4 linked regions of the Lonchura striata genome follow. The main gene of each other region encodes a partner of the protein of the gene in region 2 in a complex. Links are inferred from orthologs where the notes say so. Each region holds a gene or a part of one and is shown on either strand. Other genes may lie near its edges.

Evidence for each region.
Region 1: the proteins of GNAI1 (region 2) and regulator of G-protein signaling 16 are in contact, whole or in part, in a crystal structure (PDB 2IK8), measured with the Homo sapiens proteins. The link is inferred for Lonchura striata from reciprocal best matches to the Homo sapiens genes GNAI1 and RGS16. Residues at the interface, in NP_002060.4 of Homo sapiens: Val179, Lys180, Thr181, Thr182, Gly183, Ile184, Val185, Gln204, Ser206, Glu207, Lys209, Lys210, His213, Ala235, Glu236, Asp237, Glu238; in NP_002919.3 of Homo sapiens: Glu86, Phe87, Ser88, Glu90, Asn91, Ala126, Pro127, Glu129, Val130, Asn131, Ile132, Asp133, His134, Leu162, Lys165, Asp166, Ser167, Arg170.
Region 3: the proteins of GNAI1 (region 2) and MTNR1B are in contact, whole or in part, in a cryo-EM structure (PDB 7VH0), measured with the Homo sapiens proteins. The link is inferred for Lonchura striata from reciprocal best matches to the Homo sapiens genes GNAI1 and MTNR1B. Residues at the interface, in NP_002060.4 of Homo sapiens: Arg24, Arg32, Glu318, Ile319, Tyr320, Phe334, Asp337, Ala338, Asp341, Ile344, Lys345, Asn347, Leu348, Lys349, Asp350, Cys351, Gly352, Leu353, Phe354; in NP_005950.1 of Homo sapiens: Arg138, Tyr141, Ile142, His149, Arg150, Arg154, Ile223, Val227, Ala230, Arg231, Lys233, Ala234, Lys235, Thr252, Met253, Asn312, Asn314.
Region 4: the proteins of GNAI1 (region 2) and GPR183 are in contact, whole or in part, in a cryo-EM structure (PDB 7TUZ), measured with the Homo sapiens proteins. The link is inferred for Lonchura striata from reciprocal best matches to the Homo sapiens genes GNAI1 and GPR183. Residues at the interface, in NP_002060.4 of Homo sapiens: Arg24, Glu28, Arg32, Glu318, Tyr320, Phe334, Asp337, Ala338, Thr340, Asp341, Ile344, Asn347, Leu348, Asp350, Cys351, Gly352, Leu353, Phe354; in NP_004942.1 of Homo sapiens: Asn64, Thr66, Arg129, Ala132, Val133, Pro136, Leu137, Asn140, Lys141, Arg144, Ile219, Lys222, Leu223, Thr226, Asn230, Pro231, Leu232, Thr233, Ser236, Val238, Lys241, Ala242, Thr245, Ile246, Ile249, Ala311, Cys312, Lys313.

What each region holds. Positions count from the first base shown.
Region 1 is NC_134611.1:1,692,690-1,700,084, reverse strand, and holds the start of regulator of G-protein signaling 16, read right to left. Parts: upstream 3,017-7,395; 5' UTR 2,928-3,016; coding exon 2,848-2,927; intron 1,289-2,847; coding exon 1,187-1,288; intron 1,006-1,186; exon of another isoform or gene 764-1,005; coding exon of another isoform or gene 693-763; intron 560-692; coding exon 498-559; intron 1-497. UniProt on the Homo sapiens protein: Regulates G protein-coupled receptor signaling cascades. Inhibits signal transduction by increasing the GTPase activity of G protein alpha subunits, thereby driving them into their inactive GDP-bound form.
Region 2 is NC_134607.1:62,429,401-62,436,736, forward strand, and holds the start of GNAI1 (guanine nucleotide-binding protein G(i) subunit alpha-1), read left to right. Parts: upstream 1-4,318; 5' UTR 4,319-4,437; coding exon 4,438-4,555; intron 4,556-7,336. UniProt on the Homo sapiens protein: Guanine nucleotide-binding proteins (G proteins) function as transducers downstream of G protein-coupled receptors (GPCRs) in numerous signaling cascades.
Region 3 is NC_134604.1:38,877,112-38,884,234, forward strand, and holds the start of MTNR1B (melatonin receptor type 1B), read left to right. Parts: upstream 1-4,108; 5' UTR 4,109-4,145; coding exon 4,146-4,362; intron 4,363-7,123.
Region 4 is NC_134604.1:78,150,031-78,158,029, reverse strand, and holds the start of GPR183 (G-protein coupled receptor 183), read left to right. Parts: upstream 1-4,988; 5' UTR 4,989-5,055; coding exon 5,056-5,096; intron 5,097-7,999. UniProt on the Homo sapiens protein: G-protein coupled receptor expressed in lymphocytes that acts as a chemotactic receptor for B-cells, T-cells, splenic dendritic cells, monocytes/macrophages and astrocytes.

The sequences.
Region 1 (7,395 bases), on a different chromosome or scaffold from region 2:
AGCTGATTCCAGAGTAGGGAAAGGGCAAGGTTATCCAGTCAAACTGCTGAATTCCTGCACCTGTGGAAGAGCCATCCCCGGAGGCACAGGACAGACAGACAGGGCAGCAATGCAGTTGTCTGAACAAGCCTGAGGGGAGGTGCCTGCATGGCTGTTTCCACCAGACACCGAGAGCAGACACTGCCTCTCCCCATTGTGGAGAATGGGGTGCTTTGGGAATACCACGATGTTTCCCCTCCTGTGACAGCAAGCAGCAAGACAACACTTCTGCCCCCCCAAAAAAACCCAGCCAGGAGGAAAGGGCACAGCTTCATGGGGCAGGCAATGAGCCCCGTGCCTCAGATCTGGGCAGGAAAGGGACTCTTTCTAGGTCCTATAACACCTCATTTGAGCAGGAGGTGAGATTTCATCTTACAGTGACTCCAGGCATACAGCTCACTATGAGTATATTTGTCCTACACACTCTCACCAAGAGAAGAAAACAAGATGCTACTCACTTTTGCTCTTGAGGAGCTGGTCAAAGGACTCCCTCCATTCCAGCACCTCTCGGGAGGAGTCTCTGGAAAAGACAAAAAGGATGTGAGGCTCACTGTCCAGCAGTGAGGGCTGGGAGCACTTCAGCTGTGCAGCTCCATCACCGGGAGACAGCAGCATTCAGCAGGAGACCAAAGCCAGGGGCCGATATCCATTACCTGTGGGCTCTCTTTCCTCTCTCTTCCCTTTCTTTCACCTTCCCTGATGGCTCACCCGACCTCATCTCCATGCTGCTCTAGGGGATGCTCAGAAGAGCCTTTTCCTGCTGGCCCAGCAGAGCCTCCCCTGCAGAAGACCCCCTGCCCTCAGCAGCAATATTTAGTGTTCCGTGTTTAATGCTGCCTGTATTCCCCGGGGATCCCAGCCGCTGGTGTGAGACACCAGGAAGTGCAGGAGCCCTGCGGGTTCCTTGCCTCTTGCCAAGGAACTTGCCTCTAGCTCTCTGTGCCTAATGCCAGAGCATCCGCTCCCCCGGCGGGTTTTATAGGCGCCAGAGCAGGGAAGCGATCCGCCTTCCCGGCCCGCCGGGGTGGGACCGCGCGGAGGGGAGCTGAGCTCCGCGCTGCGCAGCCGGCTGCAGCATCCTCGCCAAGGGCTGCTCCGTGGGGGCTCGGCCCGGGCTGCGGCCGGGGCAGAGCTTGGCTTGGCTTACCTGCGCCTAGAGCCCAGCTGCAGCTTGCCGGAGCTGCCCGCCTTGTGTCCCAGCTCGGCTTTATGAAGCAGGATGCCCAAGCGGCTCTTCAGATCCTTGGCTCTGGAAGGGAGGAAGGGAGAGAGGGAGGGGTGAGATGGGATCTCCGGACCATCGGTCTGCTGCCTCCGCCGGCAGGGGCTGCACCCCACGGGCTCGGGGGGTCAGCCCTCGCTCCCTAGCTCCAGCCACGTCTTTGCTCCCTGGTGTGTGAAATAAATGCTCCCCCATTGCTTTTCCTGCTCCCTGGCAACCGCGCATTAAGCCTGGGGGACCGGTTTCTCCTACTCGCTTCCCAGGCAGACACATGGAATACAAAGCACGACGAGCTCTTTTCTCTGGGGCAGGTAAAAGCTGCTGAGTGCCCAGCTGGAGCCCCCCCAGCTCCCCGGAGCTGGTTCCTTTTCCCACCCCGCTCTCCCCCAGTGCTCCCAAACCGCTGGAAAAACACAGCGGTTTCTTTCCTCCCGGCACAGCGGGAGCATCTCCTGCTGCTGCCAGGCTGCTGCTCCCCTGCTCTCTTTTTCGGGGTGCCCTTGGGCCCCCAGGAGCCTTTCACCAGGCCATGGAGAGGGCAGCGCTCCGCAGCGGCGCCATCCACCTACCCCATGGCTTTAGGAGGCAGGGGCAGCACGGATGCTCCTGTGCCAGAGGCTGGGATTCTCCTGTGCCAGGGGCTGGGATGCTCCTGTGCCAAAGGCAGCGATTCTCCTGTGCCAGGGGCTGGGATTCTCCTGTGCCAGGGGCTGGGGTGTTCCTGTGCCAGAGGCTGGGATGCTCCTATGCCAGAGGCTGGGATGCTCCTGTGCCAGGGGCTGGGATGCTCCTGTGCCAAAGGCAGGGATGCTCCTGTGCCAGGGGCTGGGATTCTCCTGTGCCAGAGGCTGGGATGCTCCTGTGCCAGAGGCTGGGATGCTCCTGTGCCAGGGGCTGGGATTCTCCTGTGCCAGAGGCTGGGATGCTCCTGTGCCAGAGGCTGGGGTGCTCCTGTGCCAGAGCTGGGATGCTCCTGTGCCAGGGGCTGGGATGCTCCTGTGCCAAAAGCTGGGATGCTCCTGTGCCAGAGGCTGGGATGCTCCTGTGCCAGAGGCTGGGATGCTCCTGTGCCAGAGGCTGGAGTGCTCCTGACTGTCCCCGCGGCTCCGCGGAGGAGGCACCTCCCTGCCGGGAGGAGAAGCGGCTCCTGCCTGTCCCCAGGGTGTCCCCGAGGCTGCGTGTGGCCCAGCTGCTATTTGCGTGCCCGCGGCTCGTTCAGGCGTCCCAAGGCGCCCGTACAAAAAGAAGGGTTTAAATGTCAAGCCGGCAGCGTGGGGCTTCGCGGGAGGAGCAACATGTCACTTAAAGAGTTCGGCCGTGCTGACAAAAATACTCCTGCAAGTTGTGCAGAGGCAGAGCCAGAAAAACCTGGTGTGTTTGTACAGCCCTGTCCAGCCTCCTCTCCCTCCGCTTGTTTCACCTCCGCGTTCCCCTCCTGCGGAGCAGAAGGGATGCAGCCACAACAAATGACTTGGCTGCGTGTTTTCTGCACCCCGGGTTCTACCCTACCATCACATCGGCAGCAGCAGAGGCCGGTCCGGGCGCGTCTCTTCCAGCGACCCCTCTGCCTCCCAGAAGCGCCTTACCTTTCCAGGCAAGTGATGGGGAGCGCGGCTAAGCCCCGGCACATGCTGAGAGCTGGGCACCCAGGCATCCAGCAACTCATCGGCTCCTCCCGGGGCTGGCAGGGGGTGCGACAGGAGGGCTGCGACACCAGCCGCCCCGCGGACCCGTGCTGGCGGCTGCGACGGCGGCGCGGAGCCGCGCTTTATATCGGGTGGGAGGCGGGAGAGCGGGGAGGGGGACCGGCATCACTCCAGCCTCCAGCCAACCAAGAGCTGCTCAGGCAGCGCCCGTGAAGAGGAGAGCTTAGGTAAGTTGGTGTGTGCTGCTAAGCGAGGGGGGAGTGGGAGGCCCAGGCTCGTCCTTGAGCATCACAGTCATAGCCGCTTCCCCGGGAACAGGAAAAAACAGGCTCGTGTCCAGCGACGTGTGGAGCCTGCTGATTAACCGGCGGGTGGGAGAGCGAGGGACAGGACAGACGCCGAGAGTCGTCAGCTCCATCCTCTGCTCCATCCCCTGCTCCATCCACTGCTCCATCCCCTGCTCCATCCACTGCTCCATCCCCTGCCCCATCCCCTGCTCCATCCTCTGCTCCATCCCTGCCTCCATCCCCTGCCCCATCCCCTGCCCCATCCCACTGATCCATCCCGCTGATCCATCCCCTGCTCCATCCCCTGCCCCATCCCCTGCCCCATCCCACTGCTCCATCCCCTGCCCCATCCCCTGCTCCATCCTCTGCTCCATCCCTGCCTCCATCCCCTGCCCCATCCCCTGCTCCATCTCCTGCTCCATCCCCTGCTCCATCCCCTGCTCCATCCTCTGCTCCATCCCTGCCTCCATCCCCTGCCCCATCCCCTGCTCCATCTCCTGCTCCATCCCCTGCTCCATCCTCTGCCCCATCCCCTGCTCCATCCCCTGCCCCATCCCCTGCCCCATCCCCTGCCCCATCCCCTGCCCCATCCCCTGCCCCATCCCGCTGCTCCATCTCCTGCTCCATCCCACTGATCCATCCCGCTGATCCATCCCCTGCTCCATCCCCTGCTCCATCCCTGCTCCATCCCTGCTCCATCCCCTGCTCCATCCTCTGCTCCATCCCGCTGCCCCAGGGCTTCCAAACCTCCCCGCACTTCCCCAGTGGTGGCAGCCCCCAGCGGGGTCAGGAGGGTTTGTGCTTCCTGGGGGGATACAGATGGAGCAGGAGGGTTTAATGTTTCCACTTCCCTCTTAATGGCACTGCCCGTTCACAGCTGGAATATATAAGGACAATGTGCTGGCTGAAGTTGCACTTCTTTGACACAAATCCCCTGCTGGGTGTGTGGTGAGAGGAGGGAGGGGAAGGGATGCACATCAAAAGAGCCAAAACCCGGGAAAGGATCTGATAATGGAGGATCCTGATGAAACCTGAAAATTGAAAGGAGATTAAAAGCCAGGGAGAGTTTGGAAACTGGAGGTGAAGGACTGAGCCAGCAAAAGAGAAAGATGAAGAGAAAGGGTTAAACCAGCACACACCAGCGAGCCCCAGGGTCTGGAGCTACAAGAACCAGAGGTCACTGAGAACCAACAGGCCCCGTGGTGAGCTCAGGCTCACAGGATCCCAGAGCTGCCCTCCCTGCAATTCCCAGCTCAGTGGCTCTGGAAGGGAGTGACCTTAACCCCCCTGCTCATGGCCAGCCAAGCACAAGGCCACAGCTGCCACTTCCACTCCTCATCCTCTCCCTTCCTCCCTGCTATTCCCAGCTCAGACATTTTTCCAGAGCTCAAGTTGTCTCCTACCCTTGCTGCCTGCATTCATCACACACAGCACATTGCCAGAGCATCTTTCCCAGGAGAGATGAACTGTGCCAGGAGAGTGGCAGCACAAAGTCATCTGGGCAGGAGAAAGGCTCCTCTCAAGCTGCCTTTGGGAGCAGGGGCATGAGGATATCTGGGTGGGAGACTGAGAGGGGCATGAGGCACCTCAGCCCCACCGAGCAGTAGAGTCCTGTCTTTCTCTCATCACTTACAAGAAGCCACAGAATGGTCTTGCTCATGGACAGACAGGAAGGATGCATCAGGACTAATGACTGAACACACACTTTTAGCTCCTCATGTAAGAGCAGCCTCTTTCCTGATGGCTCTGGGGATTTTCACTTGAATAATCATGTTTAAGCCTTCTTGGTTAGCAGATATTCAGCTACAAATAAATGGCTGGAGCTACACAAAGCTCTAATTCAAGTCTTCTCTGTGCCTTAAAACAAAAATTAGAGCTGTGATCTTTGCTGTGGATTTCAGGGAAGAAATAGAAGACTTGAGGAGAGAGGGCTGGAAGGTTGCCTTTGCCTGTACAGCTGCTGAGAGTGTCTGTGCACACCCAAGAATGTCTGTGCACACCCAAAAATGTCTGTGCACACCCAAAAATGTCTGTGCACACCCACAGCGTGTGTGCTTGGCATCACTTTTGGAAGTGCCACACCAGCCTGGAGCTCCACCCCAGCTCAGCACCACGCTGGGAGCACTGGGGTCACAGCAGCAGTGGCACCTGGGGGTGGGCACAGGCTGCTGGCACCCACACTCAACTGTTGCACAGAGTCAGGGCTGGAAAGGAGATCTGGAGATCATGCCAAAGCAGCTTGGCACTCACCTCCCTGCTGCAGCAGGTGACCAGAGGCTTTAGGGAGGCAATGCCCCTTCTCCTCATCCCCTACATCTACATCTCCTCGCTGGTTTTTCCACACAAATTCTGTGGAAATGTTCACCTCTGTCTCTTTCCCCTCTAGCACTGCAGCCCATCCTTGCAGCCGCAGATCTGCGAAGGCACAGGGTGCTCTGGTAACTCTCCCTGGTGTTGGAGGCACGCTCTGAGCAGGTCATACCAGGAGGAAAACCTCCAGGAGCCTGGCCACGTGTGGCAGGCACACGGGACAGATGATTCCTGGCTGCAACTCAGAGCCTGGCACAGCCACCGTGCTGGGAACCACGTGCTGCCTGGAGCAGCCAGGCAAATTAACTATGGCAAAAACACAGCTGGGATGGCAGCAACTGGGGGGTGTGAGCCAGAGCAGAGAAACTGTGCACATCTCTGCCCTGAGGCTGCAGCCTGCTGAGCCCCTCTCTTTGCTCCAGGCCCTGCTTCCCTGCTGCTTTTCCCCAGAGAAATGAAGTGCATTGGACAAGCGTGTGTGCGTGTGGTTTTACCTTGTCCCCTGTGGCAGCTTTTGAAGCTCTGGGCTCAGGTGAGGCCAAGCTGACAGTGAAGCAGAGCTGAGGAACTGCCCGTGGTGAGAGAACAACCCCAGGGAAGGCGTCAGTCAAAGGCTGTGGTTTTTTGGGGACCACAGCAGCTCAGCCAGAAGAGGCACAAAGGTGTTTGCCACAGAGCTGGCTCTGGGACACATAGAGTGCCAAATCTATGTGTGCAGGTCTGAGCCCAGGCACAGGAGTGGGATTGGGCTGTTCCAGCAATTTCCTCCTCACCAGGGCTGGGACAGGCCCTGTGGCCGCTGTGCCACAGCCACCAGCTGAGCCCTCTGCTCCCTGGGGCAGCTTTTCTGCCTGTCCCCTCCGATGGGGCTGCTCCAGGACAGGCAGCTGGGCAGCATGGGCTGCTCTAGGTGAGATATTTCATCTTGCACAGCTCTTCCCAGGGTTATGCAATAGCCTCCGAGCCCAGCCCGGCGTGTGTACTCAGATGTCTTCATGCTGCTCTGTATCTGATTGAATTACGTGCTTCCTGTCTCATTTAGCTTAGCAGCCTCCCGCGGCTCCGGCCCTGTGCCCTCCTTTATCAGCCCTTGTTTTGGAATACAAAAACCTCATCCGTGTCGCAATGCCCAGAGCCGTGCCACAGCCCTGCCAGCGCCAGCCCACCTCCCGGCCATCAGGATGGTCTCACCTCCATCCCAAAGCTCCTGGCAGCCCAGGCAGGTGCTGTGCTGCCTTCTGAGGCTGGGAGGTGGCTGGGCTGAGAAGGCACCCACAGCCACCCTCTGCCAGCTTTTGGGGGGCTACAGCCACTGGCTGGCTTCACCTTCATCAGCAGACACCCCCCCCCACACACACCCCCATCAGCCCCAGGGAGTGCTGTATTTGCAAAATGCCAGCAAAATTGGAAAACACAAAGTTTTCAGCCCCAAGCTACAGAAATGGGGTGGGGAATTGGTAAAACAAGGGTTTGGTGACATGGCTGGGCTAAGGCACCCACAGCCACCCTTTGCCAGCTTTTGGGGGGCTACAGCCACTGGCTGGCTTCACCCTCAGCAGCAAAATACACACACCCCATCAGCCCAGGGATTGCTGCTGCTGTTTCTGGGTTATTTGCAAAATGCCAGCACCTTTGGAAAACACAGAACCAAAGGTCTCAGCCCCAGAAATGGGGTGGGGAATGGGGAAACAAGGGTTTGGTGACAGGGTGCAAAGTGCCCTTGTGTATGTGCCCAGTGCACAGCTCTGAGGAGAGCTCCTGGCAGGAGTATTTTTGTGGTTTTATATTGTTCCAGTGGAATAAGGGGAAGATGCAGCAAGAGATTGGGATGGGGAGGCAGGGAGAAGGAAGAGGGGAAGAGCCAGGCTGAGCTGTGCTGTTGGGGTCTCAC
Region 2 (7,336 bases):
GAAGAAGATACCTTGCATCATACTTTGGGAACATTATATTTTCTTAGCACAAAAGGAAATTAAATAACTTAAATAAAAAATATTGCAGTTCAGGTATTGAGATATAATTATGCATACAGTTACATGCTTTATTCAGAAAGAATTTTGCTTTGCTCTATTTACTTTTTCAAAGGCAGAAATTAAAATTCTTACCCACTTTCCTCTGTTTCTTTTGTTAACAACTATATTCAATTTCTCATATATGTTTTTGTGTACTGTGTCTGGTTAAAGACGAGCAAATAAGATGACTAAATTAGATAATTTAAATTAAAATCTGAAAACGAGCAAAATAGAAGGCTTAAGGCTGATCATCATCTCCATAAAACACTGTGCATTCCATACCAAACACAAGAAATTTATCTATTAAGTCCATGCAGCAGCAGCAGCTAAAGATAATCTTACAGAAAAATGAGCCCAGGAGCTGGTGAATGCAGACTCAAAAGGAGGTCATATCAAACAACAGCTATTTGTTGTTAAACCAAGCAAAACAACAAAATCTCTTGGAATAATCGCCTCTCAGGAATGAGGCCATGAAACACACAGCTCCTGAGCAATATCCCAATTTGTCAGATGAAGGTAGAAGCTGTGCAGTTCTAACTACAAGGATGAAATACTCTGTCTCACATAACCATACTGCTGTGAGGCAATGCTAATCAATGAGTTAGAGCTTACACATTCCCTATGTTTTGGAATAAAACACAGGGATCATGGGTGTACTGTCCAAATATAGACTAGATTTATCTACTTAACTATAGCTTCTTTCACTGTCTAGTAGACTATTTTATCTTAGAAGGAAATCCTTTCAGACATCAGGTACTGATCTGTGGCTGTTCCAGGTAGTGATTCAGGGCAGCACTGCTCCACAGCACCATGTAAGACATTGTTATAAAGCACTGCACTGACAACCTTTGTTCTGAATAGACAGAGTTTCTTGGCCACAACAGAGCTAGCACAATCATTCCTCAGCCCTCTTGGGCACTGTAAAAAGAGTTTATGCTATTCCATGATCCTAAGAACTGCTATGTGTGTGAAGCAACTAGAATACAATAATTTATCCCCTGCACCATTGCTGCATAAGAAGTAAACAACTGACATTGCTGAACTGTTGAAAAGCTCTCTTATTATTTCAAAAAAGACTGCATAAGGAAATATTGGTGAACCTGGGCCATGTAGTATTTCCACTTCTGAAAAATTAAAAATCTATACCAATTGGCTTCAAATTTCAAAGGAATGCATGTTAGAATGCTCAGGAGTTGCACTGTTTTTTTTGTAATATTGTCCATGTACAATCAGGTAAAATTTATCCACAGGGTTGTAATAGGAAAAGGTAGTAGAAAAGTCCTAATTATGAAATAAAGTGGGTTTGGGTTAAATAGAACTAAAAAGAGAAGTCAACCTTTATTTTTAAGACTAAGTTATATGTGCAGAAGAGGACATACCATACAATCGTGTTTTCCAGATACAGGGTGATAAAAAGAACAGGAACTTGGGGCTGTTTCATGTTTTTTGCCTATGAATGTAGTGACAGTGTTAAAGGGGAAAAAGGACAGAGAGAACACCCTAAGAAATACTCCTGGTGAAAAGTATAGAAATGTGTGCTCTATGCACATGATTAATTGAAACAAAATCCATGTGAAGTTGAGGTGTCCTACTTGTAGTATCTCCATTTCTGTAACATCTGCCGCTCTCATTATCACATTATTTCCACCTACCATAATCTCTGTTTACTACTTTCTTATCCCTTAATCTGTACTTTCACTTATAAATATCCTAACCACGTGTTATCTCAGAAATCATTCTTTATCCTTGATTTCCAAATCAGAAAAATATCCCTAAGCTTATTAATTTTTATCTCCACTAACTCTGTTCTTTCCTGAGCAGCAGTTGACATTGCTCCCTCTATCACAGGAGAGGTCAGGAACCCTAAAACAAGACTAGGTTTCCATAAGTGACATGAATTGTTTTGTAAAAGCTTTTATCCCACACAGTACCAGTGTGGAAGTCTGCCCAAGAGAACACAAAATGGACTAAGCACCTCAACAACTCAGGAGGGCAGAGAAGCAACAAACACCTCTCAGGTGCCCTGGCATTCTCCATAGCAGTGGGACAATGAAGATGACCAAATAAAATGTCTCTGAGGTCTAATAAAATCTTGAGAACTGATGTTCTTTAAGAAAGAATTCTGTAACATCCTTTACTAGGACTGAAAGTATGCCTACCAATCAGAAGATGAGAAAAATATTTAAGTTATCGTTTGAGTGTTATCTACTTCATTTTTTACATCATTACTTATGGTTTATTCATTGTCAGCACTCAAAGACCCCTGCAAAGAAGAAAATCTGACACATCCAACAAAAATAGAACGTTTGCTACTACAACTTTTCCATTGAGTTTTACAGGAAAAAAGCTTTTTAATTTGCTAAGTATAGTAATAGCTGAGTCTGACTTAAAGTTTTTGCACTCTAATGCTAAAACACCTTCTGTGCTGTAAAATGCTGCTCTTTTTGAGCTCATTCTGGGGGCAGAAGTTCTTGAGATTCTATAGAAATAAAAAATCCTGGACTCACTGGAATGATGAATCTTAATTTGAACAGATTTACCTTGTCAGCTTTTGCGCCTTATGTTTGGACCAAAGTTTATCCTGAGATTCACAAAGTTTTATCGGTTGTGCAGAGTTCTATCCACGAATTTCAGTGAAATCACTGCTTCACCCTATCAGTGCTCCCCAGATGGGGTTGTGGGTCCCAGTCGCACCGCAGCTCAGCTGGATTATCCCAAGGTCCCTTCGACCCCATTTGTTCTGTGATCCTATTATCGGGTAACGGGATCTTTCTTTTGCAATCCAAACAGCGCAACATGTGTGTGGTGGGGAAAGACTCATAAGCATTGCATAGTTTCCTTTGGATTTTTATAATAAAGAGCAAAACAAGTCATAAAACAACCTCTGGCAGGTCACAGATGTGCAGACAGCCCCGTGCCTGGGCTCTGAGCTAGGACAGAGAATTACAGAGTGGGTCAGGCTGGAGGGGGAATCTGGGGGGATCTGTTCCAACCTCCCTGCTCTAGCAGGGTCATCCCAGAGCACATGGCCCGGGATGGCATCCAAATGGTTCTGGAGTATCTCCAGTGGGGAAGGCTCTCTGGGCAACCCGTTCCAGTGCCCGGTCACTGCACAGTGAAGCTCTCTCTCATGTTCAGGTAGAACTATGTCTGCACCAATTTCCCTATTATCCCTCGTCCTCCTGCTTGGTACCACCGGGAACAGCCCGGCTCCATCCTCCTGGCACCCTCTCCCCCATTTAAATACTCATATACATGGATGAAGAAAGGTCCATCAGGAAAGAGAGCGGGATGAGCAGCTTTGAGCCGTGAGGTGGGATAGCTCGTTTGGCTTTGGGTTTGTGGGGTAAAGCTGACGGATGAGTCCAGGTAAGAGCCCGCCCGAGAGCCGACTGCCAGCAGCCAGCAACGGCGGGGCTGCACCCCGAGGTGCTTCCCTGCATCCCGGCAGCACAAACAGCAGGACGGGGGGACTGAGCAGGACGGGGGGACGGAGCGGGACAAGGGGACAGAGCAGGACAAGGGGACGGAGCGGGACAAGGGGACGGAGCGGGACAAGGGGACGGAGCGGGACAAGGGGACGGAGCGGGACAAGGGGACGAGGAGCTCGACCCCCTCCCCCCCCGGGGTACTCCATTGGTACAGCTCAGCCCGGCTCTCCCCCGCCCCGCCGAGCAATGGAACCTCCCGCGCGCGAGCAGTTTAAATTCGAGCCCCTCCCCAGCAACTGCCTGGGGCACGCGCGCGGGGGCGTCACGGGCCGCGCTGCTCTCAGCCCCGGTCCGCCCCCGCTCCCGTTCCGCTCCCGCTGCGTCTCCGCTTCCAGCCCCGCTCCCGCAGCGCTCCCCCCCATTCCGCCCCCCGCCCCAAAACGCCTCGCCGCCGCCGTGCGCACGCGCGGCCGCGCCCGCCGCTCTTCCCGCCGTGCACGCGCGCCCCTCCCCTCTCCCCTCCCGGCGTGGGCGGCGCGCGCGCGGCCGCGCGCCTCCGGCGGGGCGGGGGCGGTGCCGCGCGCGCAGCAGCCTCAGGGCCGGCGGCGGGAGCGGCGGCCCCGGTGCGCGGCCTCGCTCCGCCCGTCCGCAGCGCCGCTGCCCCCGCTCCGCGCTCCCCCGGCCCGGCCTCCCCGCGCCCCTCCCGCTCGCCGCCTCCCCTCTCGGCCCTGAGCCGAGCCCGGCGCGCGGTGCCCGCGACGCCGCCGCGCCCCAGGTGAGGGAGCGGGGGAGCAGAGAGCGAGCGGGGAGCGCTCGGTCCCACTCCCTCCTCAGCGCCGCCCCGCCGCCGAGCCCCGCCGCTCCCTGCCTCGCTTCTCCCGGCGGAGCCGCACAGCCCCGCGCCAAGATGGGCTGCACGCTGAGCGCCGAGGACAAGGCGGCGGTGGAGAGGAGCAAGATGATCGACAGGAACCTGCGGGAGGACGGCGAGAAGGCGGCCAGGGAGGTCAAGCTGCTCCTCTTAGGTAAGGGATGCCGTGAGGGGAGGCTCCTCTTGAGGCGGCCGCTGCCCGGAGCTCCCTCGCCTGCCGAGGGTACAGTTTCATAGGAAGCCTCCGGGCTGGGCGGGGGGCCGTGCTGCCCTCGGACCCCGGGGTGCGTGCTGGGGGCCCCTCAGAGGTTTTGGGGCAGCAGCGTCCTGGAGCAGGTGGAGCCTCGGCTGCTGGAAGGATTAGAGGCAGCGCCCGGGGAAGCGGCGCGGCGTGGGCTGCCCGGGCCCTGGCTTTCATAGGAACGGGATAACGCATGAAACTTCTGACCTGCAGTCTCTGTTCCTCTGATGAAAGGAAGGAAACCTTACGTTGGGGGGATATTTGCTCTTCATGTTTTCTTGTAGACCCGAACAACTCCTGAACTGTTGCTGCAGCGTAAAGTATAAAAAAGTGTCAAAAGAAGGCAAAGCACCATTTAACTTTTGGGTGGGGTTTTTTTTTCGGTTTTTTTTTTTTTTTTTTTTTTTTTTTTTTTTTTTTTTTTTTTTTTGGAACAGTTTCTGGGATCTTACAACGGGAAATACCAGCTTGATGGAGCTACTTACGTGTGTAATATGACTTACTGTCATTGTGCGTTCTTCTTCTTGAAACTTGCCTTTTTTGTGTATTTTAAGATATTCTTGTGTGTAAAGAAAAGGTTATTTTTAAAATTACAAGAAAATAGGAAGTGAGAATTTTAAATAGAGTACATTTGTTGAGGATTAAAACTACTGGAGGTTGGAGACAACTGAATGCTGCAAGATTTGCATTGAATTAATGTTGTAGGAAGTTTCGCAGTATGTTCTGTATAGCTAAACCAGACTGGATCTAATAGCCAGTTAAAATAGCTGCTGAGTTGCAGCTTCTCTCTCAGAGGTGCCGTTTTAGGCAAACTTTTTAAATGATGCACAATATCTCACTCTCCTTGACATTGATTTTGCTCTCCCGTAGTGCTCTATTGACTACAAACGTAGTAGACCTCTTAACTTTGTGTTGCTAAATTCTAAGATGGCTCCAGAAAGGGACAAAAAATTTATTGTAGATGAAGAAATGAAACAAATCCAGAATGGGAAAAACAAAGATCCTAAAATAACTTTCTAGATTTAAAATTTAACTTGTGAGGTAAGCCAGAAACAAAAGCTCGAATTGTTCTCCAGGAATTGGAAGTGGAAGCCTATTGGTGGAAACCTAAATCTGCTCAGTTTTGGGCTGGTACTGTGCCTAGTCCTGAACATCGTTGGAATCCTCAGATTATTTGTGGAAAGCTTTTCCTGTATGTGATAATAGCAATGCTGCAGATGTTGCTGCCTTTTTAAAAAGTGGCAAAGTAAAACTTTGTGTCATCTGGCAAGGCATTTGAAATTAATTTTCAATTTTTTGCTGTTCTGTGTGGAACTTGTAGTGCCTGTAGTTTGGTACTGGTTTTCCTATTTTTATCATAATTCTTGGCTACGGATGACATCTGTTTAAAGATGCTTTAAACTTAAGAATGGATTTTGTCACTATTTTAATGCTCTTACGTACTAAGTCCTATGTTATGAGCTCAAATTTTATAAATTCTCTGTTTCTGATGCTGGAAAGCCTTTCTGCTGGGCTCTCAGGAGAGCTAAGAGCATGGAACAAATGGTCAAATTGCATGTAGGTTCTCAGGGTGCCCTGAGCAGCAGTTCTCTTGGGTTAGCATTTCCTTCTCCCCTGCTAAAAAGAGGTGTGAAGGCTGGCAGCCTGGCTTCTCCTGGGACCAGTGCTGGGATTATTGTTTTAACAATGATTGCCTAAATGTTTAGTGAACTCTGGATGAGCCTTTGTGCATGCACCCATGGATATTTATTTCACATGTTTTGGAATGAAAGTTTTTTGCCTTCCTCTTCCTTGCAAGTCTGTCAGGTGTCTTGAATGTGATGTGAATGCTTTATCTGGTGGCAAAAGTATTTAAAGTTATTTCCACTAGAGTCACTTTCTTCTCACCACTCACTTTCCCAATTGCTTGTTCAGCCCACATGTCATAGTTTATCATCCACTTGGTTGTACTCCTACATCTATTTATGGGTTTGTTCTGCTAAAAAGGTACTGAAATAAAAGGAAAAGTAAAAATTGTGGTCTGCTGCCAGGCAAATGCAATGAGCGAGTGGCAGTTGAAACAACCTTATTTATGTAAAAAAAGGTCATGTAACTGTATACCTATTATTATTATTATAGTTGACCCATTAAATTGGATTTATTCCAGCATATATAAAAAATCTATTTTTGCCTGGTGATTAGAGAAGCCTACTGAAGTTTGAGCTAGAATGCTCAATTGAGGGAAGATGTGTTCGTAAAATTAATCGATTTCTAGACTGGAAACTTAATTTACTCCATCATATGCTTTTCTAAGTTTTTTTTTCTAAAACAGGAAATTGTAGGGATTCAGTTGAGAGAGATGTGACATTGCTGTACCTGAACCCTCACTGTGAACAAAATCGCTGATACCTGTTAAGTTTCTATTTTGTTGTCCTGTCTCTAGGAATAAGCAGATATATTTAATCTACCCAAAATACTATTGAACTGGATTGTCTGAGTTTTTTGTCATATATGTAAATTGGTTCATCACTTCCTAAAATTTTGAATGCAGGTATTAGGAATAAAAATACTGGATTCTAAACATTATTCATGTATAGCTATTTTAGCCTTGTGATTCTGTGCACTTCAATGTGCTATCCCCAGGAGCAGCAGAGCCTTTCCTGGAAAATTTCTGAGAACCATCATTCTTAGAAGTAAGCTGAATTTGACCTTGTA
Region 3 (7,123 bases), on a different chromosome or scaffold from region 2:
TAGTCCTGCAATAACCCTTGGAATAATCTTCCCCAAGCAATCTTCCCCTTTAATCACCTCACACTGCAATACCTAGTCTAAGCTAGTCCTCAAATACCCTCTTCAGTTTCAGCAGAAAGTCATTCACAAGGTTATCTATTCCACCTACTTCCCACACCTATCCAATGATCACAGGGCAATAAATGTGTACAATCCTTGGGAAGCTGATCTCGATTTCTCTCTCTCCCTTAGCTTGAGACATACTCAACCTAAATCCCTTCCCACTCCACATCTCTGCTTTGTCCAATCTATTGATTAAAGTTTCAAAAATGGGTGACTCTTTTCACTGAATTCACAGCAAAAGGATCCTCTTATGTGCCATGGAAATTCAGTGTGACTAAAACATCAATAAATTATTGAGACTGGGATGGCAGATCTCATTTTATGGGCAATTTCCAACAGGTTAAAAGGGGTTGGAAAATTATGGACAACAAAATAATCCTCCTCTAACTAAGGCTTTGATTTCTACATTAAAAATATTAACATTGCATGGAAAAGATGAAACCCAGACCAGAAAGTGTTAATAAGTGAATCTTCTGTTCCTACAGAAGGGAAAGACCCTTCCTGATCAGAGAAGATACCACCCTTTTTGTACATGCTCATGATACCAGTGGACAGACTTTAATTTAAACAGTGGGCTCAAGCTGACTTAAAAATATAGACATATATTTAAAAACCCCTAATTGTATAGAAAGAGGTATAAAAGGTATAAGACTCCAAACCCTACCGTGGTGTACACAGTGAGAACAATCAACTCAGACTGAGTTGAGTTAGAAGTAGGAATGCTATTTGGAAACTGTCCATTTTAGCTATAAGTGTCCCTTGGTTTTGTAGAAATGAGTGCTGAAATAAAAAACACAGAGGAGATATAATCTCTTCCTCAGTGGAATACCTGAAATTCAAGAGATTTTACCAAAGGGATCCTCTGTCCTGAAATTTTATTTGTGCTCATGAAAACTTTTGACTTCTGTGATCAGTTACAGATTTAGAAAGTCAAATCAGCAAATCACAGGGAAAAAAGTGCTTGAATGTATTTCCAGGAAGCAGTCATTTTCCTTCAGAATGAAAAGGAAAAAAAAAAAAAAAAAAAAAAAAAAAAAAAAAAAAAAAAAAAAGACAAGCGAGTTTAGCCTCAGGCAGCCGAGCAATGCATGGAATATTTGACTGCTCCACTATTCAGGCAATTCCTGCAAAACAAATAGAGCTTGCCTTTTAAAAAAATTAGATTGCTTTCAAAAAGAAACACAAGACATGGCTAATTTTCCTAGACATGGAAGAATATTTCCCCAAAATTAAAAATATAAAGGTCTTAAAAATCCAACTGTGAAGACTATATCTCTTCCTTTGAGATGGAGAGCTTTTTGCAACAATTAGTTATTTTATAACTCCAACAATCAATAGGCTTAAATACCTATTTCACTTTCAAAGAGAATTTGGCTAATTGGAAATAAGGCTACTAAAAAGCTGAGTAAGTTCATCCACAGATCGTTTAATGCATCTTAATCAATCATTACGCAAAGCAAAGAAGATTAACATTTATAATTTATCCTTTGACAGACAACACCAAATAATAATTCCAATCTTTGTTACTGATATTAATGAAGAGAGTGGAAATTCAGAGCAGATAAAGAACATGCTCTTTACAGGTTGCAGAGGCAGGAAAGGTACCAGTTTTATTCTGATCTGCTTGTTTTTCTAATGTCAAATGCCAGTGCATCCACCAAAGTCAGATTCTTGTTCCAAAGCCAGAACGCTTCAGTCTGTTTCACATTTTGTGGCAGGCTTATACTTCGGGCCAAGCTCAGGCCATAGCATTCTAATTTTTCTCTAAATCACTTGGTATACTTTTGGGAGTTATTAAATGAAGTGAGCAATGATACATAACAATTGTGTGTGACAGGGAGAAATACATTGTTCCTCTTGTGGGGACAAACTGCAGACCTGGGTAATGCCGGGAGCAAAGCCTACTTTGAAAAGCCACGTTTATGCTCAGGGACAGTTTAAGCTTTCAACAAACAGTTAAAGATAAATCCTGTAGTAATGACAGACAACAAAATGGTACAGTTCTCCTGAAAGCATTTACACAGATTCTGGAAGGATGCCCAGAAAGAGCCTCAGGCATGGAAATAAATTATAATATGTGCAAGTTTCCCCTAACAAGTCCATAAGTCTAGAGTAGTACATAGAAAATGGGCAGTGAGAATAACAACTTTCTGAAAGGAGAAATTGGAACAGAGGCAGATAAAGGGAAACACTGTAACACAAAAGTTATTCTTAAACTATTCTTAAAGATCATTAGTGAAAAATCCTCCTTTGCACTGATGAATACAGAAAATATGCATTTCCTTGGATCAGCTACCTTTTCAGCTTCTGGAGAAAGAAAAAGGAAAATGAAGTGAACTCTCACTTCCATCAAGAATGAGCCTGTCCTGTCAAGAGAACAGTTATTACTCTCCTACGTCAGAATGGCAAAACAACTATTTAGGAGTGATAATTCTCAGAAGAAGGTTCATTTTTGATCCAAGCCATGAAGCCGTGATAACTCCAGCTGTAGTTTGAAAAGGACCATGATGACTTACATATTGCCTACATTAAACAGAAAGCATCTGAAGTAGGGCTGTTTTCTTTTTATTTTTTAAATCACTGTAAATAAGAGCAGCACAAAAAAATCCACATGTATGATTCTATGTTCATTCCAACCAGGACTACTTCAGTTTATTTGAAATTGACTAGGATTTAAAACTGAACAGTAAACTATTTCTAAGAAAAAAAAAATCAAAAAATACAAAGTAATCTTTAGCGTTTTGATCACACCAGTGCATGGTAAGTCTCAAAGAAGCAATGAGCCCAAATAAGTTATTCACAGTTAGAAAAGACAGAAACTTGTCCTGTTTTTCCAACCTAACTCCACAAGGCAAGTTACCTTAGGATCTAATTCTTGAAAAACTGGGGGGCATACCTTCCTCTGAAAGCAGGACAGCGATACAGTGTGACCTGGGTGGCCTGAAAACAATGCGAAGTAGGGCACAAACCCCTCCCGAGTTACGGCTGCCGAGAGCAGCCCTAATTGCCGGCCCCGCTGTGTGCGCCCGGTGCCGGTGGCAGCGGCACGTGGCGGCGGTGCCACGCCGCCAGCCGGGCACGGCGACCCGCGGGCTGTGCCCTCCTCTGCCGCACGCGTCTCGCCTGTTTGTTTGATGCAAATGAGCGTATGGTAGCTGTCACTTTGCGGGGCCCAAAGGGAACGATATGTTTCAAGCGTAATTGCAGAGGGAAGCCCGTCGGAGCCCTTCTGTCAGCCCTGCAGTTTGAGAGGAAAATCCCGCGAAACGCGCCCAGCTTCCGAAGCCGACACTGGCGCGGGCACGTCCCGCCCGTGGCGCTCGCAGTTATCGCCCTTAGCCCTTATTCTCGGCCTGACCGCTGTGCTCAAACGCGAGGCACAAGGCCACGGCGAAGGCAGTGTACGACCCTTTCAGATGTGCTGCCAGGCCGACGGGAGGAATGTGCCAGGAACACTCGTCTGGGCGCACCGTGTGCCTGGCGGCGAGAGAGGCGGGGGGAGCGCTGGCCTTGCGCTGCCAGGAACACAGCGGTCCGAGCCGCGGGGCAGGGAAAAAACAATCAAACCAACTCCCCAGAACAAAACACAAACAACCCCCAGACAAGCGCTCTCCCGGCGGCGGATGGCGGATGTTCGCAGCTGAGCCCTGGGGCAGGAGCAGCGCTTTGGGACAGAGGCTTCTCCACCGCCCTCGCCTGTCCCCGCGGCTCTCCGGGCACGCAAGCTGTCACCGGGGATGGCCGAGAGCGGCCGCCTCCGCTACCCGCGGAGGCTGCCCCCGCCCCGGCAGCCGCCGCCGCTCCGCGCCGCCGCTCCCGCCGGCCACCGCCTCCTCCCTCCCTCGGCAGGCGGGGCTGGGCCCGCCCCCGGGCTTCCCCCACCGCCCGCGAAGGGGAGGGGGCTCTGGTACCGCCCCATCCACGCCCCTCCCGGCGGAGCGGCGCCCGGCGCGCCCCTTAAAGCCGTTCCCGCCCGCCCGCGCGGTCAGTCCGCGGGGCCGCCGCCGGTCACCGCGGGGAGGCGCCGGGACGGGGTGGCCGCGATGCTGGAGAACGGCTCCCTGAGGAACTGCTGTGACCCGGGCGGGCGCGGCCGGCTCGGCTTGGCGGAACGGGAGGCGGCGGCGGCGGGCGCCCCGCGGCCCGCCTGGGTGGTGCCGGTGCTGTCCAGCGTGCTGATCTTCACCACCGTGGTGGACATCCTGGGCAACCTCCTGGTCATCCTCTCCGTCTTCAAGAACCGCAAGCTCCGGAACTCAGGTAAGGGCTTGACCCCCGCACCCTGCCCCGGCGGCGGCAGGGAGCAGCGACTGCCCGGAGTCCCGCCGCTATCCTGGTCCTCGCTTCCAGCTGTCCTGAGGAGCCCAGCCCGCTTGTCGAGTCCGTGCGGGCCGCCTCCTGAAGGCGGGAGACCAGAGCCCCCATCCGTTGCTCTTGCCCTGTAGTGTGTGCCGGGATCCCCAGGGGCTCAGTCACCCTTCCCAGCGCACCGCCTCTGCGCTCTCCTTGGGGTCCGTCCTGCCCTCCGTTAGAGAGCGCAGGTCGTTCCGTGGTTTCTAATGAGGCACTATGTGGTCTCTATGGAGCTCCCGAGGAGGGGAATCGGTGCCATCCGGCGACGAAAAGCGTGCCCAAAGTGGTCGGAGGCGTGAAGGAGGAGCTTTTAAAACTTGCTCAAGAGTCCTAAAGATACGGTGCTGTGCATGCGTGGGGAAGCGGCTCAGCCCGATCTCTGGAGTCTGCATCAGAGTTCACGGTAGTCTTCACAAAATCGCCTTCTTGTCTCCTCATCGCATATCCTTCAGACAGAACGTAACAAATAAAGTGGGGTGTTGTCTTTGAATTGTGCCTTTAATTTCTCCTTGTGTGTGCTAGAATGTTGCTCTGCGGTTTTTACCTGCTAAACTTACTGGCTTTATCTCCTCCTATCTGCCGGGCTGCTTACAACGTGTTTCAAACTACAAAACTCTGTAGTTTCTCACCAGCTTCTCTGGCCCTGATTGGCGCACGTCCCTCTGCGTGCGGATCCTACAGCCCCTCCGGCTCCCCGCGTCGATGGAGCCGACTGCTCCCTGATGCGCAGAGCTGGGCACACCTGCGCTCCGCTGGATGCAGTATAAAGTGCTACCCCCGAAACCGTGGTGTATCTACTATAGTTCTTGTAGTTTTTAGCTGTTCCCGGAACTCCTCATTCCTTCGAGTTCCCTCGTTTTGACATGCGCACGCAGGTCGGGATAACCAAACTTTGCTGGGAGCTGGCAGGAGTCCGAAGCACTACGTTCCCCGTTCTCGGAACCAGAGGGTTCTGCCATCGATCCTCTGTGTCAGCGGGTGCTCCCTTGCCACTGGGAAGGAGGAAGAGCTACTGGCTTGTTTCTCCTGGGGGTGTTGGTTTGGGGTTTTTTCAACCAGTGTCTCTTCCCAAGTGCTCTGTCGTGTTTCACGTGCGGTGACTAGAGCTCCTGCTAATGGGGAGTAGGCACTTGCTTTGAGTGAAATCGTGCTTAGGGGCAAAAGCAGTTTATGGAGGGGTAAGTCTTGCTCTCCCCAATCTCTGCACGTCTAGCTGCAGGCGGGGGATGCCGGCAAGCCCCGTTTACACGGGGCTGAGAGATCACACCCCGCCCCGAGCAGCACCGCACCTGAGAACGTCTGGAAGGGTGGTTTGGCTGAACGAGGGAAGACATGGGGGTGGCCGCGGCTAGTCCATGCGCTTGTGCTTGGTCTGTCCGTCCCAGGGGACAAGCCGAGAGAAGCAGAGCCGTGCCGGGGCCGGCAGTGCCGGCACGCCCGGAGCCGGAGCCCTGCGCGCCCCGAGCGGGACCGCGGCCGCCGAGCGGCGCCGGGCGCTGCCCCGGGGCAGCGGAGCGGGGCTGGGCTGGGCTGGGCTGGGCTGGGCTGGGCTGGGGAAGGGAGTCCCGCGGGACCCGCCGTGACTCACCGGCCCCTCCCGGCCCCCTCCGTGCCGGCGGAAGGCGAGTTCCCGAGGGATTCCGGGGGCAGGAAGCGCCCAGGGAACAGGCTCTCGCTGGAGAGGGCGGCCGGCAAATCCCTTCCAGGGAGAGGAAGAGAGGGACTCTCTTCTGAAACTTTCCCTTCACCCAGACAACAGCAAAGGGGAGGGTTTGGACTGGAAGAGAGTGATGCCTAGAAGAGTAACTTTCAAGATACTGATCAAAGTATTCTGTGGCTCTGTGGCACCCTGGGACTGCTGGGGAAAAAAAATACACCAAAAAAACCACCACAAAACAACAACAAAAAACCCCCAAACATAGTCGTTTTACCTAGTTCAAATACCTGCTAATCGCGATAATCCTTAATGGGATGTCGCTGACCCTGTCCCAAAGATCTCTTTATCTTTGATAAGTACTGTGAAAAACAGCAGGGAATTCTTTCTACATAATCTTCATAAGGTTAAATACCTTTTCAATTGCCAGTTCTTTGTTTTACGTCAGGGAGACATGACTCTTGGAGGTGAAACTGAAAGGGCATAGTTTGGTAAATGTCTACAGAAGTCTTTTCAGGTAAAATTTCTTAGGGAGGAAGCACAGTGGAAGAGGACTGGAAACTGATGTGGATGGAGTGATAGAGGGGATGGGAAAGTGGCAGAGAGCTAAGGCAGTACTTGGGAGCCCTTACAATTTGACAAAGAAAGAAGGAAACGCAGGTGGACTTGCAGGTTTCTATTCTGAGCAAATGAGAAACAATGTGTTTGTACTTGCGAGGGGAGTGAATGCAGTAGATAGCAAAATGGTGAGGGAAAACTGCATGAAAAGAGTGAGACCTTGTCAGAGAAGAAAAAGATGAAGTTAGGGGAATGGTTATGACAGGAAGACATCTAGATGTCTGAAGGAAGGAAGAACTATACATCATGAGTACTCAGTTCCCTTTGAAGAAGCTAATGAGAGATTTTTCTTGGATGAGAGTTTGGGACTTCAAATAAGTCACAGGTATATAAGGAATAAATTAACCAGTTCTGCCTACTTCTGTGGCACAAGAAGTATTCATGCCTTCAGAAAGC
Region 4 (7,999 bases), on a different chromosome or scaffold from region 2:
CTGACTGGATAATTGCACATGTCACACCCATCTTCAAGGAGGGCAAGAAGAGAATCTTGACAGTTACAACGCTCACCTCAATCCCTGGGAAAGTTACAGAGCAAAACTCCTAGGAGCCATTGCCAGCTACATGATGGACAAGGCAGCTGCTAATATCCCATATGGATTTACCAAGAGTGACTCTGGTACTGTGGGTAAGGAAGGGGAAGATGGCAAATGTTGTACAGTCTGACTTTAGGATGGCCTTTGACTTGGTTTCTTCTTCAGCCCTTAAAGAAAAACAGGGATATGCACTGCATAAGCAGTGAAGATTTGAGGGAATCTGGCTACACTGCTGGACTCAAAGGGTTCTGATCAGCAGCACCAACTTTAATGGCAAGCACTTACTAGCAGCTTCTCTCATGGATCCATACTGGGATGAACACTATTTATTGTCTTTATTAAACTACCTGGATGACAAAGTGCACTCCCAACAAGCTAGTGAGTGAAATCAAAATAGAGCGAGCAGTCAATACTTTGGAGAGCAGGATCACATTCAGCTATTCCTTGATGGACTTGAGAAATGAGTCAACATTAGGAATGTTAGGGAGTTCAACAGAAGTAATAGTGCACTGAGTCTTCCATCTGGGTTGGAAAAACCTTGGGCAATGGCATAGACTGGCTAGAAAAGACTTGCAGATAAGGAGCTGGAGAATCCTTTGAGTGTTAGTCAGCCTTTGAGTGCTACTTTATCCTTGCAGGAAAGGTCAATCACATACAGGGCAGCATTATCAATATGTTGCCATAAGGCCAAAAGAAGTAATTGCTCAGCACTTCTGAGACTAAATCTAAATCATTGTGTCCACTTTAGGGCTTCATGCTTCAAGAAAGGTATTAATATACTAGAGCAACTCCAGACAGGATAATGTATTTTACCAGGCTGCCCAGAGTTACAATCTCCATCTTCAGAGATACAACTTGGACATTCTCGTTGGACATGTTTTGAACCCAGGACTGAACTAGATGACTGTCAGAGATCCTGTCAAACCTAAACTACCTTATTGCTCTGTGAAAAATCAAAGCCTTATTTCCAGAGCTCATGACTGCTGAAGGAATTTCTGTTCCTGTATTTCACTGGGCAGCTACAAACATCCAACCACATACTGCAAATAAAAGGACTGGCTCTTAACTCGTTAAGTTATGTTAATTAGTTGTTTGGTATCATAGATCAGATTCAACATCTACAAGTGGAAAACATTCTTACTGAAGGACTACTTCAGTGTTTTCTTTTCCTTCACTTCTTTCTTATCCTCCTGTATTTGATTTTCCTCTCATCTCTTTTAGTCTCCTTTTCTGTGCTTTCCCTCCTTTTGCAGCGACCTCCAACCCAGCCCTTTGTTCATTATACTATAAGACTATCAGGAACATCCTTTCACGTGCCATGATTAACTTCTACTAGAAATCTGTGATGTCTGTGTGCAAAGAAGGGCTATAGATGCAAGCATATTCTGACCTTGAACTGAGTTTTTGCCCACTTCATATTTAGGAAGTTAATTTTAGTCACATTTTCATAGAAAATGAAATTTTCAAACAACCCAGAAAACTCTAAAACCTGAAAACTGAATTCTGGAGTTTGAACATTTACATGTCCATCCCAAAGATGTACTATAGTAGCCATCTCTACAATAATTATATCCTCATTTTGAAGAGCACATTAAATTTCAACATTTAAAGTGAAACAGAAACACAGAGACAAGATAGGAACATTTTACAGCATATACATCTATGAGATTGGGTTTGTACAAAGAAATAAAAAAAGACATATACAAACAACATCCTTGAAAAAAATAAATCAGAGATGTAAAAATTGTCTGAGAATAAAAAATCAGGGGCAGGTACATCTTACAAGAGAAATGCACTATTTAAAGTCTAAAAGGGTGACTATTAAATGCAGATTAAAATAAAACATTAGCACTAGCAAATATATGCACACAACAAGAAAAATGGTTCTAAAATGCATGAACAAAGGGTTAGAAAGCTAAATAAATGTAGCTTCTGCAAAAATGCTTGCTGCTGTCAACAGAAGTTCTGTGGGATTAAGTCTGCAAAAAGAATCTATTTTATTCAGAATGACTCACTACACTTACTAACTGCGGTGCTGTGTTTTTCTTCATTCAAGTTCTCCAAAAAACCATCAAACTGACAAATTCACAACCATGTATTTTTTAGGGGACTAAAAATATCACTTATAAAAAACAGCTGCAGATGATACAGGCACGCAAGCAGTGCACTTGGAATTCAAGTTACTAAGTAATTTCAGTGACCTGCATTCCTACAGTCAGCCCAAACACTGCCATATTACACTTGAGGTTCCAGCCTTTATTCTGAACATGCTAAATATTCACAATAACATTCCTTAAAATTAAGTAACTCTGTGGAATGTGACTACCTTTGATGGTTGCCTTGGACTCAAAAGACCCTCCTACTGCACCCAATCCTTTCACTACACATAAGCAGGACAGCCCATTGCCTGAGGTCTCTCAATAGCAGCAAAAGCATTAGGCTTTGTTACCCAGTATTCACTAGCTAATACCAATGTTTCACATAAAAGCAGCAAGAATGCAGAAAAAATTTAAAAATGCATCTGGAGGTGAAAAGAAAGGTTCCTCCTGTCCATGGATATCCCTGCAGAATCTGTGCAACTTGCAGTTCATTAAAATTTGAGGCTAACAATCTAGCCAACAGTTTACAATTCCCTCATGAAGGTGGAAGTCAGACACCTATCCTAAAGTAAGCTTTAAATTTTCATGCCAAGACTATCAAACAATATATTTTGTAACCTGCGGGGTTCCATGTTCCTCATCTTGCCCGTCAAAATCTGAACAGTGTTTGTACATATATGGTAAACACAAATGTATGTCTGCACATATATGGTAAACACAAACACCTTCTGACACACAGCAATTTTTAAATTTACATGTCCAAATCCTGGAGCAGTCAAACAGATATTGGACCAAGAGCAGCTGTATCAGAACAGAAAACAAACAGCTAGAAGGATAAACAGTTAGTGAAAGAATGCAACCTGCACCATTTATCTCAAGCAATTAGCTTGAGCTAATTTCTCATCATGCTAGGCTGGATTGGTATCTAATATACCAGTGTGACTCAAAGGGTACAATCTAGTACTGTATCTTAATCAAATGAAGGCAATATTTTATCAGATCAAAGCAGGAAACACATACTGGTGTTGTTTATAAAGATAAAACAATTCTGAAACAAACTCTTCCTTTAATAAGAAGCTGGGGTACTAATGTCAGCCGTTGAGCAAAGACATATTTGCGTATCTCAAAATTTCCATTTCTACAGCAGACCTTAGATGCTGGACAGGGAACCACACTGTGGTATTACTTTGTGTACATATGAAACAAGTTCCCTGTGCAATTTCCCTTTAAGCAGTCCTGAATTCTCATTACTTCATTTAAAGCAATTTTACTCACTGATGAAGCTGAATAATTTAAAAATTATTCAAAAACAAGTAAGGAAAAACAAATCCAGAATAAAATAATCCAGAAGAAAAATAATCCAGAATATAATCGGTAAATTTCCCCAAAGACTTTCTGAATGTGATGTTAGACATTAAGACTGAGGAGCTGAAAGCCCTGGATAGAGCCCTTCAGCTCTTTGGCATCTAAAGGGAATCAAGTCGTGTACAGTGGGAGTTCAACACAAGAAAAATCAGTGTACGGTGTCAACCAAGTGCTCCAAGTAGGTACAAGAGTAGCTCACAAGGCTCTGTGCTCTGCTATAGCAAAAACATTTCCTATAATACAAAGTAACTTTGCCATTAGACCTGTATTTATTTGAGGTTTTCTGATGAGAGGGATGTGTTAGTAGAGATCCTAGCTCTCTACACACCTTCACCACTACAATGTCAGCCAACACCTGTGCTGTGAATACAGCCCTAACATTTCCACAGAGGCATCCTGCACTCTGCATGGGTTGGACCCGCCAAAAATACCCTTATCATGCCTTGTTGGTTGTTTAAAATCAGGCCACTAAATGAGGTCATGAAACAGTCCTTTGCAGTCATGAATGATCAGTATCAGTTTCTGGGGAAAATCCCAGCTAGCTCTCAACCACAGCCTCTAACAGCAAACGAAAGGATTTTTCATCTACCTCAAATCTCCAAAACCCTCTTAACAAACACACAATTTAACTTTTACATTAAAAGTTCTTCACCCAGAAACAAGGTTATTTCAGGTACAAATGGGTTAACTCACAATTTGTCATCTCATTCCCTTCCTACTTCCTAGCCACTCATTCTTGTCAATATTATTTTAGGGGATTCAAATTTGTGCTTTAGAAGCTTTTGATCTTTCATGTATTTACCATACTTTTTCATTATCATTATTATCACTGCTTAAAATGTAATAAACAACTTACAAAGGCAGACATTTTTACTAATCTCTCAAAGACACAGAGTTCTTTAATTCCCTCATTGATTTTTGAAAGGCATTTCTGTAAATCCTCATCATTATGATACTAAAACCATACTGGGAATGTCCACGGGCGTTTGAGACATCTGCTTTAACACCACATCTCGGTATGTCTCAGTTTTGAGGTTTCCTCGTGCTGCATCAGATCTTGTTGGTAAGAAGAAGTTCTAAGTATGTACTGATTACACAGCTCTTTGCTGTAAATTAAGGTATTTTTAACTTCAAATGGCAAATAAACAAAGTTTTTCTCATATGAGAGGGATTTTAGCCGGTCAACAATTAGTCAAGTAAACCTCTGGGTGAAGTCCCTTCTGCGAAAGTCGGTAGTGTGTAACTTCAGGGGGGAGGTGGAAGTGTTGTTTCTAATTACTCTCCTTGAGCAGACTAATTGTAAAAGGATCAAAAATAGATGCTTTCACATCCCATAAAACAGTAGGCAGCAAATCAAGACCGACACATAAACAGGGCTGGAGCTTTTTTAAGCACTTGAAAAAACCCTACCCCTCCCACAAAGGACTCACGTAATCACTCTTGAGAACAATGTGCAAGGATAAACCTTCTCAGTCAAGCCATCCTGTTAATGCCCTTAACTGCTCAGAGGATCCAAGAAGCTACAGAGATGTAAGTACAGAAAACAACTACTTTTTACTGTTTTCCTTTGCCACTGAGCAATAGCAAACAATTCCAGAAATATCTCCTTTTTTGCATTATACTGGATATTTTCATGTGGCAGTAAGGATAAATGATCTTGTATGGGAAAGGCCCATGAAAGAAATTCTCTGATATTTTATATTCCCTTATTAATATGCTACTAGTAGTTTCCACTTAAAGGATCTGTTGATCTACAGCATCAACAAGTTCTTCCAACTCCTTTCTCATAATACAGCCTTCTGACAATCACAGGGAAACATTTCATACTGCCTCAACTTAGACAATTTTTTAGCAACTAATTTAAATTATACTAGTGCAGAAGTAACTACTGTAGAAGTAGTAAGGGAAGCACTGAAGCTCTAAAGTCACTGAACCTCACAGAATAATAGTAAGAGGGAGCCTTAAAACAAATTCATGCTGTGCTTGTGAATGCATAGCTTGCTTTTATCACATGCGTTCCTTGTCTATGAAAACAGCCTTTATTATCAGCTCGAAAACTTCTCACTCTTCTCATGTAACATTGCAACAGAGCATTTTAAGAGTTCAAAGCTTTATGAGCTAATTCCTCTTTTTAACTTCTAGTGCACATTTCTTGAAAGGTTTTTAGAAGGCATTCTTCTTCTCAACTGCAATGACCAACATCTCTCTCCTTATTACTGATCTTTAGATATGTTACAAGTGGTATGATTTTTATACAGCTTCCCAATTTAAAAGGATACATTTTTCCTATTATACTAGCAAAACAAGACAGTCCCACAGAAAATAATTCAACTATCTTTTATCTAAAAAAATAAGAGTACTTGCCTTTGAGGAGAAAATACAAGAGATCTGTCTAACATCTTCATGATTGCTCCTGAAGAGACAAGGCAATTGAAAATTTACCTAGCAATTAGTCTTTAAGAGCTCAAATCTCATTTCTTTCTGGTACCACGTATAGATAATAATAAACTTAATAAAGAAGCTGTAATCTGAAGCTGTAAACCCTAAAATTAAATACTATACCTGTATGGATTTAATGTAACTCAGAAAAAAAAACCCAAACTCAAATAGGTGCACATGTTTTCTAGTACTAAAATACAAATCCTCATCTGACAACTTTTTTCTTCTGCTAGAAAGAATGTCATTTGCAGTGGCTCACACTTTTATTTTGCTTATTTGCTCTAGTTTTAGGCTCTCTCCTTTTTACATTTGGTACACCTAAGCAAGTATAAACTAAAGGGAAGTTAATAATCTTAGCATCAGTACAGCTCTTCATGTCAGTATGTGTTTTTGACAGAGATTATTTATGTTAGATAGGTCTCACACTTTTTATAGAACACATCACCCTTGTAAAGAGATATCCAACAGATAAGACCAGAATGTACCCTTCAAATTACTTCCACTTTTTCTTTAATTAGTTATGCACTTCAACTCAACTTCTTTTTTTTCCATCTCACTTAATGTAGGTTCTACTATTTTTTAGCAACACATATAACTGTCATACAACAACTGTCATGCAAAATCATAGTAGTAGACAAAAGCAATACCATAAAGATCCCACAGTCTTGTGCATATTCTGTTAAGAAGCTAAAGAATATTCTAATTCCTTATAGCCACTGTTAAAACAATTTAAGGTGCTGTAAAGACAATATTTGGGATTCTCTGATGTGTGTATTACAAATTTGGGTTTACTATGCCAACAAATTTGGATCTATACCAAAGAGGGATAAAAGTACTAGCCTGGAAACTCTCTCATCAAAATTAACTGTGGGTTGTGACCTGAGGACTCAATCCTCAGGTCATTAGGTTGACTCACCAGCCTTTAGAACACAAAATTCAACAGCTTTTGAAAAGAAATTAACAAAAAGCACTAGAAACATATGAGTGTTATAGCGTTAGAAAGAAAGAGGAAGCTTTAGGACATGCCTGTCTCTTGTGTCAGCTTTTATTAAATTACATGCAGTCCTCAGTTGCCAGTCCACACATCATATTATGCAGCTTAGGTATATGTTCTTTCTATTTTAACTAAGTGTTCTACTATGCAACTTAGCCCACACACTTTTTAATACACATAACTTAGTTGAAATCAAGCCTTTTTCTCAAACAGAGGAAACACTCTACAATAGAGATCACCTGTACGGTAAAATAGCAATACAAACTGTAAATATGTCTGGTCAATAGAAAAAAAAAAATTGAGATTAAGAAAAAAATTAAATCTACAAAAACACAGTACTGTGTATTTTCAATTTTCTACTGTTTTAAAACAATGTAAGATCTACACAGATTATATCTATAGAGGACTGTAAGATCAGTGAATCTTGCACATAAATATCTTTCCTGACCATTCCTTTAAAATAATCTATACTCTTTATGCATAGAAAAACAACATTAACCCCCAACATGATTTGTTAAAGAAATATTGTCCGTCTCACAGTGATTAAACCATACTATGTGTAGAGAGACAGGAGAGATCTTTCTACTGAACTGCTGTGCCTTTCCAAGAATATAATTAGATTCCTTAAATTAGCAACTGGACCTGGGACAAATGGACCAGGGATTCATCTTCAAAGAATGAAAATTATGAAGGGACACAGAGAAATCACATTAGATTACAATACAGAGTAAAAGCCTTCCACATGTCCCCTCTTCAGCCGAAAAGACAGATGGTGCTCCTCAGCAAAAGCAGGAGATGAGAAAAAGAAGAAATTAAATTAGCATTCAGAGAGAGCTTTGTACCACTGCTTGCACACAATCCCAACCCATGTAATCTAAGGTGTAATACTGCAACTGCTGGCTCCCAGCTTAAGTCTGTGCTTCTTAACAGTTAAATGTATGTAATATTATTATACTACATATAAAGCTCATCACACATGAACATGTCTGTGAAGCAGAGC